Struthio camelus: one gene and its partner. The protein of the gene in region 1 purifies or fractionates together with the protein of each later gene. This does not show direct contact. Links are inferred from orthologs where the notes say so. Each region holds a gene or a part of one and is shown in the gene's direction. Other genes may lie near its edges.

Region 1 (7,263 bases):
GAACAATATGGTATACAGCTTTCTCAACTCTCCTCTTTTTCTTACCCCAGAAATATTCCTACTGTGACTTGAGTTGTTAATAATTAAGTTAGTGTTTAATGTTTTGACAGTTAGCTCTGCGTTCCTTTTTTTTTTTTTTCTTTACCGACATAGCTACATATGCTCTCCATTCAGCAATGGAGAGATTGTGTGATGGACAAGTTTGAAGAAAGATGGGTGAGTTAATGAGATTTTAGATCACACTTTCCATATAAATGAACACTATTTTTGTTAACCTATATAAGCTTTCATACCGGAACATCTTAAGGCAGTAAATTCCACAGATAAATTCTACAATATGTAAAAAAGTACTTCTGAAGTTACATTTCTCAAAGCACAGGAGGCTTTGCTGGCTTGGAGAGGAAGTAATTCATGAGTTCTTTCTTTTCTATTCTAATATAGCAAGATTTTCAAATCTTTCTTAGGAACTTTCTGCTGACTAACAGTTGAATTCAGAAATCCTGGCCTAATACAGGGCTTGCTCTAGACATATTTATTAATATATATAACTTAGATAAAAATTTAGTTAGCATTCATTTATTTTAGTTCATTGGAAATCTTAATATAAATGATATTGTTAGAATTGACATGAGGCCAATGAAGCTGAATTGACTATGGTGATTTTAAAGCACTAACATTTTGTATTGTAGCACTCCAGCATTGATTCCTTGGCAAAGATGCTTTATATATTCAAATTCTACACAAATTACATGCAAAATGAAGTCCTTTCATCTGTCAGTATGCTGCCTATGGCTGTAATTATAGCAGTGTGCACACATCACATTAATAATATGGAGGAAATCTGCAGTACCATAGGATCCTCTTCTATTTGCCATAATTGCTGTGATTAGTAAAAGGGCAGAAAACGCATTTGCTTAGTCCGTGAAAATAAGTTATACAGTATTTAAGAAACGAAAGTTATACATAGCTGCATTTCTCAGTAAGCCGTGAAGTTCAGCAGGGGTCTTGCTAAAATGATGCCTATATTCTCTCCCATTATGTTGTACAAATAAAAGTAAGCTCTTTGCCAGGTTGGTGGAGCTCATAGGAATGTCCTTGTCATTACAGAGGTAGTTCTCTAAAGAGTTTTCCTGTTCCTACATCATTTATTCCTTGATCCTTTGAAGGACAGTAAATTGTAGAGTGCAGTGATGACATTTGTGAATGGGTGACTTGCTTTTGTTCTCCCATCAGGTGAGAGGGTGGGAGAAGCAACAAGATAAGCTGCAGTAAAGTCTTACTGGCTCGCTTAAAACTAAAACCAAAAAAATAAATAAAAATCTTGTAACCAAACAGGGTTTGCTGCATGTGCTTATCATATTCTGTGTCTGGTTATGCCATGTGTAAATTGTCTTCACGCCTACTCATGCAAATGAAAGTTAAGATATTATCATATGATCATATTGAAATTGAATTTGTATGTGAAGAAAATTTGATATGCACTGTCTGAGGTCAAGAACCCAATCATGCAATTAGATAAGAGTTTTTAGAAATTTCCATTTTTATCACTCTTTTTTTCACCTTCGCACTTCTATTATTCATTTTTCCTGGGACATGTATCTCTTGTCTGCCAGCAATCAGTTACTGTCTTGCAAGTATTCTTCCACAGTGTATCTCTTCAAACTGATTAAAATGATTGTATCTGCGAGTCCTTGACCTCAGATCCTTACTCCAGTGTACTAAGTTATTTGTGGTGTAGAATGGAATTTTAAAAAGTTTCATTTGTTTATTTAATCATGAAGTTCAAGATATGTCATGTTAGAATGACAAGCCACTTTGATCTGAGGTATCCCTGTTCTCTAATACCTCTGAGGCCTTTTTCTGTAGCACATATTGTAATTCTTTAGTAAGCAGAGAATCACTAGATTATGAGCATTGTACAGAGTTTCTGCACAGACCTTGTTTCCTTTTATTAAAAAACACTGAGAGACATGCAATCAAATTTAAGCCAAAATGTCAGAAATTGTTATAATAAATAAGAGAATAATAGAATAATAGTGATAGCTGCTTCCTGAGGTTTTGAGGCATTAAGCTGTCAGTGGATCTTTTTCTGTCTGTGTATCTCAGCAAAATTCCAAGAAGTTTTTAACTGCATAGTTCTGTTATTTTCACTGTCCCATTTTATCAGTTGGCATAATGTCAACATGGGTAGGTGGTATGGGCATAACACTATTAAGGAAATGTTTGAAAAAAGAGTTAACAATTGATTTTACAAAGTACTTCAAAAGCAGTAATCTCAACCTATGTAGACAGAAAAAAGCTTTGATCACGACTGGATGACTGAAAGCAGAGGTAATGCTCTGAAGTCAGGGTTGAAAGCAGAGATTTAAACTTGAGTCACCATCAGTGATATCATCACCACCGAGAAACTCATTTACAAGCCAGAGAACGAAAGAAGTTTGCAACAGTTAGTCTTACAAGGGGAAGTCAGTTCTGCTTTGAAATCAGCCACGGTAGCCTATAACCATTATTATCTATTACTTTTTAGTGCACTATATATTTATTTTTGTCATCACTGTGTAGTATAAATGTTAATGTAAGATATTACCAGTATTATTATGTAAACCTCTCAGCAGCTTTCAGTAGTTACAAGTCATCAAATGTGTATTTTTGTATGTTAGCTTCTCTCAACAAGTTGAAATAATTCTCCCTTTGCTTGTACACATGCTAGTTGTAGAGAATAAATTCTGAGTTTTAATTTGTAATTGTATATGAAACACCAAATCATGTACAGATAAACCTATTCTGTGTTAGTTTAGAGACTTAGCAATCCCCAGGCTTAAGTGCTGGAAGCCATTCCCTCATTATCTGAGTAATTATTTTTTATTAGTGGAACAAATGTGGATGTAGTTAGTTTTGTTTCACAGTGGGAATTACGTGGAGGCCAGAGGAGATGCTTGTAGTCATGTGCTTCTGCCTTTTTGGTCTTCATATGGAAAAAATAAAGCAAATTTTTGGGATGAAAATTCCTGTACTTCCTGTTTGCATTAAGATGAAACTTTAGCAATTTTAGTTTGATAAAAATCTTCTGTAATTTGTAAAGGTAAAATAATATGTTTTGATTAAAATGTCAGGGTTTCTTTGTACTTGAATAGCTAATAATAGGACTGTTTTTTAGAACACTCGGCTTTGACCACAAAAGAGTTCGTACACACTTCCATGTGCTTGTACCTTATATTTGTGAGAACATTTGTTTACGTTTTGCATTTCGCTCAAGCTGCTGTGGTCGGTTTCCTTTTTGTTTATAGTCAGTATCAGTTGCCAGTTCTCAGACTTTAATCCAAGATAATTTCCTTTGAGCGCACCATCCTGTAGGAGACATTACTTGCATTTTCGTACTACTTGCATTTTCTCGATCTAGTTTTAAAGAGAATTATACTATTTCCATTACTGTTAAGGTAAGCTGGCTTGCTGCTACACGAGATTTGAAGAATCAGCTGAGATGATAATTCTTCATTATTACACTCAAGGTTTGGGAGATGGGAGAATGATATATCTGGTGTATCTGTTGCTGTGAAATCCATCATGACATTTTTCACTAAATTCCAATGTGAGAATATTGTAGTGGCATGGTGAGATAAAACTCAACTTTGCAGCAGCATCCCTCAGCAAATCTGAGTGGGTGGAAAATATGTTTTTCACCACAGCCTGAACTATCCCGGCTTTTTTAATTGTTGCAGATGTGGCACAGAATGAGTGGGGATGAAAGGGCCTGTTCTCTATGGATACTGTTTTCTTAAGAAGAATACCACTTTTTTATGGAGCTGCTTGAAAAGATTTCTATTCTGTTTTCATATTTGCAAAAAGAAGTAATAATTTGATTAAAAAATTTGTAATGTTTTGATTAAAAATGAAATTCAAGTATTTTAGAAAATTGCCCAGATAATTCACTAAAGTAGAGGACACTTAGGGTGCCTGCATGTATTATTGATCATAGTTAAATATATTTTTCAATAGATGTTATACATCTTGACATCTGCTGAAATAAAGTGAGGACTGTTTACATAAAATGATAACTACTAAAATAATTTGTTAAATACATTCAATTATGTGATGCTTAGAACTTGCCAAGAAGAACATGTACTAATTCCTATCCACCTCCATTGTTACCTTAAGAGCAACTCTCTCCATAGCAACTGAAAACTTTTCAAGGCAGCAATAAACTAATCCTCTCCAGCTTCCAGAGAACCATCAAGGAATTTTAAAAACATTGGACTTCCAGCAGCTAAATGCTTCTGCGGATTCAAAAGGCCACAAAGCTAGAGACATATAATCATTCTTTTTTCCCTACAGAAGGTAAGAAAATAATGTTTAGAAATAAATGCATCCCCATAACTATGACACATATTCCTCACTGCTAACAGCAAAATTTATCTAAACACCAAAGCTTTTCCTAGCATCTAAAACATACTAATCTTTCTCTGAATGCCAATGTGAATTCAGCAGTTATTTTTTTTCATTTTAAATACTCTGTTAGCAGTTTTCTTTAAAATGTCACATATGTATTATATGGTAGTTAAAAGAAGCTGAACTTGTGTGACTGTCTAAGCTATGTGTATTATCATCAGCAAATTTATGTAGCTGCCAGCATCTACCCATCAACAAATTGAAAAACTCCTAGTGTAAAACAGAACCTAAACTCTTTTATCCTTCTTGTGTTTTGATACTGAGATACGTATCGTTAAAGCAGAATGTTAGTGTCTTAGGAAGGATATTGCCAAGACAGATTTACAGTACAGAATGTTGTTTCCATCTAGGATTTCAAAAAGTTAAACTGATTGCTTCTGGTATATTTGTCTTGTTTAATCATTGAGTTGTATGAATGAACTTCTTACCTCAGTTCTTTAACTCTTTCATCTGACCATAAAGTATCACTAATTTTTAGGCAATTATGTTAATTCTTGTTTAGTGTTGTACAGCTGAAGTTAAGTAATATTGGTAAAGTGTTTTGAAAGTAAAACCTGCTCTGCATCAGTGCTGTGTAACATAATTACTGCACGTTCATATCAAGATTACCCTAGTGATCTTTATTTACACCTATTACTGCTTCTAAAACCCTGTTTCATAAAGGAGTGAAAGTGAAAGCTATCGTATTTTCCTGTTCTGCTGAAGAGGATTATTAGTGAATGCAATAACATAACACTGAAATGAAAACCATGCAGTTTACTTTTATGAGGAGGGTCAGGCAGTTTTAGTCAACCTCTTGCTGGTAATTCTACAGGAGTTTTAAGGCCATGGTCGTCTTAGTTTCCTGCTGTTCTGAGCTGTAAAGTCCCTACAGGCTCCCTGTTGTTCAAAAACAGCTTGTCACTGCAAATCAGCTTAGCCAACCAATTAATAAATCCTCGCAAACATATTGCAGACACACTAATTAAAGGGTTGGGGTTTTTTTCCCCTTTACTATTCAGATTCCTCAGGTTTCAAGTTTAAGCTGTGAAGTGCAAACAACAATCGAACATTCAGTACAGATCACGCACGGCAGGAAGAGGAGATGTGTTTTCTGACCAAGCATCCAGCTCTTGGGGTGGTATGTTCTGCTTTCATATTCAGCGTGCTCATTGCTGAAGGACAGTCTGGGGAAGAGCATGGGCAGGATGGCAGCTCTGCTCCCAGCCGAGGCTATCTGATGGAAGTTTTACGCATTCTTTCAGCTGACAACACTGAGCTCCACAAGAACCACTCACGAGAACTGGTCAAAACGTTACTGGAGAGAGCTGAGTGCCCACAGCGGATTTATGGCATGCGAGAGGATTGTAATCTGGTTAGTGCTTCAATTAATGAGGGAAACCTTTATAGGATAGTCAGTGAGTTCTAAAATTATTTCTTAGACTGACACCCTCCTGAATACAAAAGTAAACATGTAAAAGGCTTCTTCTTACAGCAAAAGTGATAGTCCTTGCTTTAACTGTTTCATCGTAAGTTATGAATATTTCTTGTTTGATCTTATAGAGATATTCCAAACATGATAGGTATACCTTAAAAATTCCATATTCCTTTCAGATAAGAGTAAAAATTTTCCTTTCAAAGCTTTCAAATGTTTATTTTCTGGGAAGGATTTTTTTACTTTTTGCTGATCTAACTTTAAAAGCTAGAGCTTGAATTTGGGACACAGAGAATTTCTACTGTAGAAAGACATTGGTAAAAATGGGGGGAGCAGTTCTGTCAGTTTTTTTGTTATGGATTTTAGTTCATAAAAATAAATCACAGCCAGGATTGTTTGAGATTCATGTGCCACTTCACTGAAGTATCTAGGATTGATCCAACAATGGATCTGCAAATCCAGATTTGACATAGTTCAGGGTACAGCTTCACAGAAGGTTCAGTTGTCTAGCTGAATTGAGAATACTTTCAGAACTGATTCCTGATTTGATCAGGAAAGGGACAAGAGCTATGAGATCTTAGGTTCTAGTAGGTAGGAGGGAGATGGTGCCTCAGCTTGGCATTTTCTTTCCCACACTAGTTGACACTAACTAATTGGTTTCAAACTCAACTTTCCCTTCTAAATCCAGGATTCCTGTAACACCAGACCACTTTGTTTTCATTTTTTTCTTCATTTGTAATGATGCATGCAGTGGATATTTAAAATAATGCAGCAATGTTCTAACTGTTTTTTAAACCCCTTTTTGGTTTGTTTTTTAAACTGGCCCCCTAGAGCGTTTGTGAAGGGACTAGCATCTCTTAAACAGCATCTGACACTCTTTTATCTCCCAAGCATGCAAAAGGCATATATTTCTTGCAGTGGTAAGGGATTTTTCTTCTGACTCCTGGTTGCCTAAACAAAGCAAACTCAGGGCTCTGTGCCTAGGTTCAGAGCTAGGCTCTTTGTTATAGCAAATAAGCTTTTCTAAACATAGGCCATGTGCATGATTGTGCCTCTAAAATTCTAGTAATAGCAAAATAACCAGTGATGAATCAATTTATATTCTCTTGATATCATCTTGTGGGCTACCTAGATACTATGAAATAACAACATCTTTTACAATGTACCTGCTTCCTTGCAGTTAGCAATTTCCTTTTCAGTCATCTTCCTTGCTAGAGTAAACAGCTTTGCTGATTACAGTTTATCCTTACTAGCTCTTGAAATACTGTAAAAGTCTTTGAAAATCTTCTGTTACATGCCTGATGTTTCTTATACACCCTAGGATGTATTTGAAAAAGCTGATTGACTAACTTGAGGCCTCTAAGGGACAGAAAACAGAATACTTATGCTCCTTCAAGTGCAAA
Region 2 (7,205 bases), on another chromosome or scaffold:
CCAGCCTCCGCCGCCACCGCCACATCCACACGGGCGAGCGCCCTTACGTCTGCACGGCCTGCGGCAAGGCCTTCACCCAGTCCACCAACCTGCGGCAGCACCAGCGCATCCACACCGGCGAGCGCCCCTACGCCTGCGCCCAGTGTGGCAAGACCTTCACCCACTCCTCCAACCTGCTCCTTCACCAGCGCACCCATGCCGGCTCCCGGGCGCACAAGTGCCCGGCTTGCTCCAAGGCCTTCGTCTCGGACGCCTACTTGCAGAAACACCTGCAGACCCACGCCGCCCGTCCGCCCGGCAGCCCCTTGGCCCCACCGCCGCTCTTCCTGGCACCTCCCGAGGCCGTGGAGACAGTGGAGATGCTCTGGAAGTGCGGTGACTGCGAGCTGACCTTCAAGAGCGAGGAGCTGCTGCTGGGCCACCAGCAGAGCCATTTGGAGGTAGGGACACCCGGCCCGGGCCCTGGTGGTGACGAGGCGCCCACGGCGACGCACAACTGCCCCACGTGCGGCAAAGCCTTCAAGAACAGCTCTGGGCTGGCACGGCACCAGCACAGCCACACCGGCGAGCGTCCCTTCAAGTGCTCGGTCTGCGAGAAGACCTTCATGCAGCTGGCTAGCCTGCTGGGCCACCAACGCAGCCACCCCGCTGAGCAGCAGCTCATCCAGGCTGAGGCCGAGGTGACATGTCCCCAAACGGCGCCTGAGCCCGCCCAAGCCCCCGCCGAGCGCCCCTACCAGTGCACCGAGTGTGGCAAGGCCTTCAAGGGCTCCTCGGGGCTGCGCTACCACATGCGCGACCACACGGGCGAGCGACCCTACAAGTGCTCCGAGTGTGGCAAGGCCTTCAAGCGCTCCTCGCTGCTCTCCATCCACCAGCGGGTGCACACGGGGCTGCGAGCCTTCAAGTGCGCTGAGTGCGGCCTCACCTTCAAGTGGTCCTCACACTACCAGTACCACCTGCGGCTGCACACGGGCGAGCGCCCCTACGCCTGCCCGGACTGCCCCAAGGCCTTCAAAAACACCTCCTGCCTCCGTCGGCACCGGCAGCTGCACACGGGCGAGCGCCCCTACGCCTGCCTGGTGTGCGGCAAGGCCTTCACCCAGACCTCCAACCTGCGGCAGCACCAGCGCACCCACACCGGCGAGCGCCCCTATGCCTGCGCCCAGTGCGGCAAGACCTTCACCCACTCCTCCAACCTCCAGCTCCACCAGCGCACCCACTCCAGCGCCCGGCCCTACCAGTGCCCTGTCTGCTCCAAGGCCTTTGTCATGGCCTCCTACCTACAGCGTCACCTCCGCACCCATGCCGCTGGCCCCAAGGCGCCTGCCGCCCCCAAGGTGCCGCCCGTGCGAGATGGGTCCCACGTTCAGCCCGCTGCGCTCAGCTTGGAGGTGGGCAGCCCACCCACCGCCCCCAACGCCCAGACCTTCCTGCTGGTGCAGACGGCACAGGGCTTGCAGCTCATACCCAGTGTCCCCCACCCGCCGCAGAAGCTTATCCTCCTCCCTGCGCCGCAGCCAAAAGCTGCTAGCCCTGGCTTCGCCCTGCTGCCCGCACCACCCAGCAAAGCTGCCCCGCGCCGGCAGGAGAAGGGTCCGAAAGCGGTGGCGCCTGCCAACCCACCGCCGGCAGCCGGGCAGAGCATCCTGCTGGTGCCCAGTGCGGGGCAAGCCCTGCCCGGTGTGCAGATCCAGGCACTGGCGGGCGCTCAGCGGGCACCAGGCCTCGCACCTGGGGCCAGCGTCATCGTGCTGCAGAACGTCCCTGAGCAGCCGTCGGCAGAGGTGAGCGCCCTGCGGGTGCAGGCTCTGCCGGCACCGCCAGAGGTGGCCAGCGTCCAGCTGCAAGCCCTGCCGCAGCCCTCCGAGGTGGCCAGCGTCCAGCTGCAAACACTGCCGCAGCCCTCCGAGGTGACAAATGTGCAGCTCCAGGCCACCGAGGTGACAAATGTCCAGCTTCAAGCCCTGCCGCAGCCATCCGAGGTGACTAACATCCAACTGCAGGCCCTGCCGCAGCCCTCTGAAGTGACCGGTGTCCAGCTCCAGGCCACTGAGATGGCCAATGTGCAGCTCCAGGCCACCGAGGTGACAAACGTCCAGCTCCAAGCCCTGCCGCAGCCCTCCGAGATGCCCAACATCCAGCTCCAAGCCCTGCCGCAGCCCCCGGAGATGACAAATGTCCAGCTCCAAACCTTACCACAGCCCTCGGAGGTGACCGGTGTCCAGCTCCAATCCTTGCCGCAGCCCTCGGAGGTGACCAATGTCCAGCTCCAGACCCCCGAGGTGACGAACGTCCAACTCCAAACCCCCGAGGGCACCCGGGTGCAGCTCCAAACCCTGTCCCAACCCTCTGAGCCTGTGACAGGGCCGAGCCTGCCGAGCGGCCCCGAGCTGCGGGGTGCTGCGGGGCTGCCAGAGGGGCAGGACGTGATCGTGGTACAGAGCGGGCAGGGCGAGGAGCTGCTGGGGCCGGGGTCGGAGGTGGGCGGCTTGGCTGGGGTGCAGGACGTGCACCTGGAGATGCTGCAGACGGCCGAGGGGCTGCAGAACGTGCTGGTGCTGCGCGGCGCCGATGGCGAGCAGACGCGACTCTGCGTGCAGGAGGTGGAAAACCTGCCGGAGCTGCCGCCGGATGAGGCCCCTGGTGGGCAGAAACTCTTCATCATCCGCAGCGAGCCCACTTTGCAGGTGCTGGAGAATGTGCCGGGGGCCGGGGGCCAGCTCTCCGCGCAGGCGCGGGGGGCGCCCAGCAGCACTGGGGCAATGCCAGGGCCTGCTGGTGGTCCTGCCATGGTGCAGCTCCTGCCTGGCCCCCCGGCCCCGGACCTGCCCGCCATCCAGATCGTGCAGACGGTGCCCAGCGTCCAGCTGGTTCACACCTTCTGAGCGGGGCCCAACCCCAGGGCAGGACGCCGGGGTCCTCTCCACGGCCAGCCCTGGGCCCTGGGGTGCAGGAGCCACAGGGGGCTCAGCACCAGGACTCCTGGGTCCCTTGGGTGCTGGGGTGCGGGAGCTATGATGAACTCAGCACCAGGACTCTTGGATCTGCTCAGCAATGGGGTGCAGGAGCCATAGGCGGCTCAGCACCAGGACTCCTGGGTCCCTTGGGTGCTGGGGTGTGGGGGCCATGATGAGCTCAGCCCCAGGACTCCTGGGTACCCCTGTGCAGGTCCCCCAAGGAGAACTGAGCATCAGGACTCCTGGGTCCTCCCTCCATGGGGGTGCATGTCACAGGGCGGTCTGGCCTCCAGAGCACCCAGGTCCTCTTGCAAAGGCTGTATGACCTTGTGAGGGTCTGGGCTCCAGGACGCCTGGGTCCCCCCTGCACTGCGGTGTGTGCCCTGGGAGGGCCGGGCTCCAGGACGCCTGGGTCCCCCCTGCACTGCGGTGTGTGCCCTGGGAGGGCCGGGCTCCAGGACGCCTGGGTCCCCCCTGCGCTGGGGTGCGTGCCCTGGGAGGTCCGAGCACCGGGACGCCTGGGACCCCCCTGCACTGGGGTGCGTGCCCTGGGAGGTCCGGGCACTGGGACGCCTGGGTCCCCCCTGCACTGGGGTGTGTGCCCTGGGAGGTCCGGGCACTGGGACACCTGGGACCCCCCTGCACTGGGGTGCGTGCCCTGGGAGGTCCGGGCATTGGGACGCCTGGGTCCCCCCTGCACTGGGGTGTGTGCCCTGGGAGGTCCGGGCACTGGGACACCTGGGACCCCCCTGCACTGGGGTATGTGCCCTGGGAGGGCCGGACACCAGGACACCTGGGACCCCCCTGCACTGGGGTATGTGCCCTGGGAGGGCCGGGCACCAGGACACCTGGGTCCTCCCTGCACTGGGGTGCGTGCCCTGGGAGGTCCGGGCATTGGGACGCCTGGGTCCCCCCTGCACTGGGGGTTATGGGCTCCAGGACGCCTGGGTTCCCCCTGCACTGGGGTGCGTGCCCTGGGAGGGCCGGGCTCCAGGACGCCTGGGTCCCCCCTGCGCTGGGGGTTATGGGCTCCAGGACGCCTGGGTCCCCCCTGCGCTGGGGCGAGGACCCGCAGGAGGAGGGGGGTCGGAGGACGCCTGGCTCCTCCGGACACCTGGGTCCTCCCGGCGCGGCTCAATAAACGCTGCTGTCCCGGCGGGCGCTTCCTCCTTCCCTGTGCGCACGCGCAGGCGGGGCGGGGGGAGGGGGGGTAGAGGGAGGAGGGCACCCTGGCAACTGCCGCTAGGGGCGGGGCCGGCGGGCGGCGCCTGCGTGGTGCGGCGCGGCCCGGCCGCGGCTCGGCGGTGAGAGGCGCGGCGCGGCCTGGGCGGGTCCATCGGCGGCGGGGGGGGAGCGCGGCCGCCCCACGTGCCGGGGGCGGGGGGGGGGGAAGCGGGCCGTGCCACCGGACGGCGCGAGGGGGGCTGGGCGGCGGGGGGCAGCGGGCCGCACCACCGGGCGGGGCTGGGTGGGGGGGGCCGGTTGTACCACCGTTGCCAAAGGGCGGGGGCGAGGGAGGTGCTGAGGGTGGGGGACACTGGGAAGGATGGGGAGCAGTGGGGGGGGGACACTGGGTGTCACTGGGCGGCCCTGAAATCAGGCTGGGGGGCACTGGGGGGGGTTGGATCAGACTAGGGGGCCCTGAGGCCAGGATAGGGGACACTCGGGTGGCACTGTGATCAGACTGGGGGGCACTGGGGAGCCCTGAGTTTGGGGGGGGGCACTGGGGGGGGCTTGGATCAGACTAGAGGGCCCTGAGGCCAGGATAGGGGACACTGGGGTGGCACTGTGATCAGACTGGGGGGCACTGGGGGGGGGCTTGGATCAGACTAGGGGGCCCTGAGGCCGGGATAGGGGACACTGGGGTGGCACTGTGATCAGACTGGGGGGCACTGGGGGGGGCTTGGATCAGACTAGGGGGCCCTGAGGCCGGGATAGGGGGCACTCGGGAGGACATTGGGGCCAGATGTCACTGGGTGACCTGAGGTCAGGCTGGGGGACAGTATGGGAGGGGGGTACCGGAGGTCACTGCTGCCCTCACAGCAGGACGACCCGGGGGAGCCGGGAGGGGGGTGCCACCCCCTGACCCCCGCGGCGCAGCATCCTGGCAGCCCAGCACACCTCCACCATGCCAGCGTCCGCCGCCCCGCTCACCATCCGTCCCATGCGGCCCGACGAAGCCCCCGCCGTCCTGCAGCTGCTCCAGGTGCGCCCTGCCCCGGGGCACCCTAGGGTGCCTTTGCAACCAGCCCCCAATGATGCACCCTGGGGTGCCTGCAACTGCCTATGGGTGCCTTGCAACCTGCCCCTACGGTGCCCCCAGTTGCCCCAACGTGTGTACCCTGGGGTGTGCCCTTATGGTGTACCCTTGGGTACCCCTGCACCCCCCCCCCCCAACGCCCCCGTTTCCCTTTGTGTTTTCCCCAGGACGCCTTCCAGGACGCCGAGACCCGCCTGATCCTGCACGTGCTGACGCGGCCCCCTGCCCTGCTGCTGCTGGCGGTGGCCAGCAGCGCCCTGCGCCTGCTGCTGGGCTCGCTGCCCGCCGCCCTGCTGCTGCCGCTGGCGCTGAGCGGGGCCCTGCTCAAGGCGGCTGCCTGGCGCGGGCCCCACCGGCGGCCCCTGCCCGCCGCGGGGCTCTGGGTGGCCGTGGCCCCCGGCGAGGCGGCGGTACGCGGCTGCGCTGCCCTGGAGCCCCGCGCCAGCGAGGAGGAGGCCGAGCTCTCCCGCTTGGCCGTGGGCCGCCGGCACCGGCGCGCCGGCGTTGCCCGCCGTCTCCTCGCCTTCCTCGAGGGCCGGGCCCGGGCGCAGGGCTACGAGCGCTTGGTGCTGCGGGTGCCCGCCGGCGCCCCAGCCGCCCGGGCTCTGCTGGAGGGCGCCGGGTACCGCCGGCGCAGCGGCCCCCGCGCCTGGCTGGGCTGCGCTGTGCTGCACGAGTTCAGCAAGGAGCTCTAGCGCCCGGGGGTGCTGCCCCCTCTGCCCGCGCACCCGCCAATAAACCCACCCCCCTGCCCCGGCACCCACCCACCTTGGCTCCCGCTCCTCCTTGCGTCACCCTGGGGTGGTGGGCAGGGTGGGGGGGCCCCTGCATGGTGCTGCTGGCACCCAGTGTCGCCCTGTGACGCCCATATTGCCCCCAGGATGGCCCTGATTGTCCCCCTCAGTATGACCCAATGATTCCCCCAGTGTGGCCCACTGACTCCCAGTATGGTCCCGTTGTTCCCTTCGGATATGGCCCTGTCATGTCCAATATGGCCCTGCTGATGCCCCCAGTGTGGCCCCAACGTCCCCCCAGTCTGACCCAATGGCTCCCACTATGTCCCCAGTGTTCCCCTCTGATATGGCCTGATGATTCCCATTATAGCCCCGCTGGTTCGCCAGTCAGCCATGCTGACCCCAGGGTACAGCCACGCTGCGCCCCCCAGTATGACCCTATGACCCCCCCCCCCCAAGTGTAGCCCACTGTTCTCCCAGTACTGCCCTGCTGTGCCCCCTGTTTGTCCCCACTGGGCAACGGTGGCACATGTGCATGTGTGGCTTTGTGTGTTCCTCCATTCATGTGTGCATACAACGCCAGGACATGCGACCACGCACATGTGGCCGTGCCGTGGCAGGGCACGTGTGAACGTGTGGCCATGCGCCAGCAGTATGCATGCATTTGTGCACACGTGGCCATGCCGTGGCAGGGCCTGTGCGCATGTGGCCGTGCACCGGCAGTGCAAGCGCGTTTGTGCATGTGTGGCTGTGTCATGGCAGAGCATGTGTGTGCGTGTGGCCGCGCAACAGCAGTGCATGTGCACTCGTGCACGTGTGGCTGTGCAAAGGTGGGGGGGGGTGTGCACGGGTAGCCATGCAACAGAAGGGTATGTGCATGCGTAGCTGTGCAAAGGCAAGGCGTGTGCGTCTGTGCATGTGGCTGTGCAAGGGCAGGGCGTGTGCGTCTGTGCACGTGGCCGTGCAACAGCAGGGCGTGCGCCTCTGCCCGTGCGGACAGCAAGGCGCGTGGGCGCGTGTGCGCCAGTGCACGTGTGTCCCCGGGGTGTCAGGCTGTGCGTGGCGCCCAGCTCTTCCAGCCTTAACCCTTGCATGCCCGGGCCGTGGCTGGGCCGGGCTGGGAGGAAGATGCTGCACCTGAGTGTCCCTGGTGACTGGAGCATCCAGGGGTCTGTGCACCCCCCCCCAGACCACGTTGCACCCCATCCTGCTGCCAGCCCAGCCCCGTGCGTGGGGGGCGAGTGACGTCGT

The links. Proteins that work in one complex are often made in the same cells at the same time.
Region 2: the proteins of SLC39A12 (region 1) and NAT14 purify together in Homo sapiens (co-immunoprecipitation; 3 studies listed by BioGRID and IntAct, counting the BioPlex papers as one, with this or other methods). This does not show direct contact. The link is inferred for Struthio camelus from reciprocal best matches to the Homo sapiens genes SLC39A12 and NAT14.

Annotation. Positions count from the first base shown.
Region 1 is NC_090943.1:23,505,140-23,512,402, reverse strand, and holds the start of SLC39A12 (zinc transporter ZIP12), read left to right. Parts: upstream 1-4,244; 5' UTR 4,245-4,268; coding exon of another isoform or gene 4,269-4,335; intron 4,336-5,447; 5' UTR 5,448-5,530; coding exon 5,531-5,800; intron 5,801-7,263. UniProt on the Homo sapiens protein: Uniporter that promotes Zn(2+) import from the extracellular space to the cytoplasm across the cell membrane. The transport activity is temperature dependent. May play a role in neurulation and neurite extension.
Region 2 is NC_090975.1:1,178,247-1,185,451, forward strand, and holds the start of NAT14 (probable N-acetyltransferase 14), read left to right. Parts: upstream 1-4,199; 5' UTR 4,200-4,264; intron 4,265-4,866; exon of another isoform or gene 4,867-5,003; 5' UTR 5,004-5,088; coding exon 5,089-5,166; intron 5,167-5,387; coding exon 5,388-5,915; 3' UTR 5,916-7,205. Other genes in the region: zinc finger protein 628-like, read left to right, coding at 1-2,888. UniProt on the Homo sapiens protein: Probable acetyltransferase. May act as a transcription factor that regulates the expression of coproporphyrinogen oxidase by binding to a promoter regulatory element.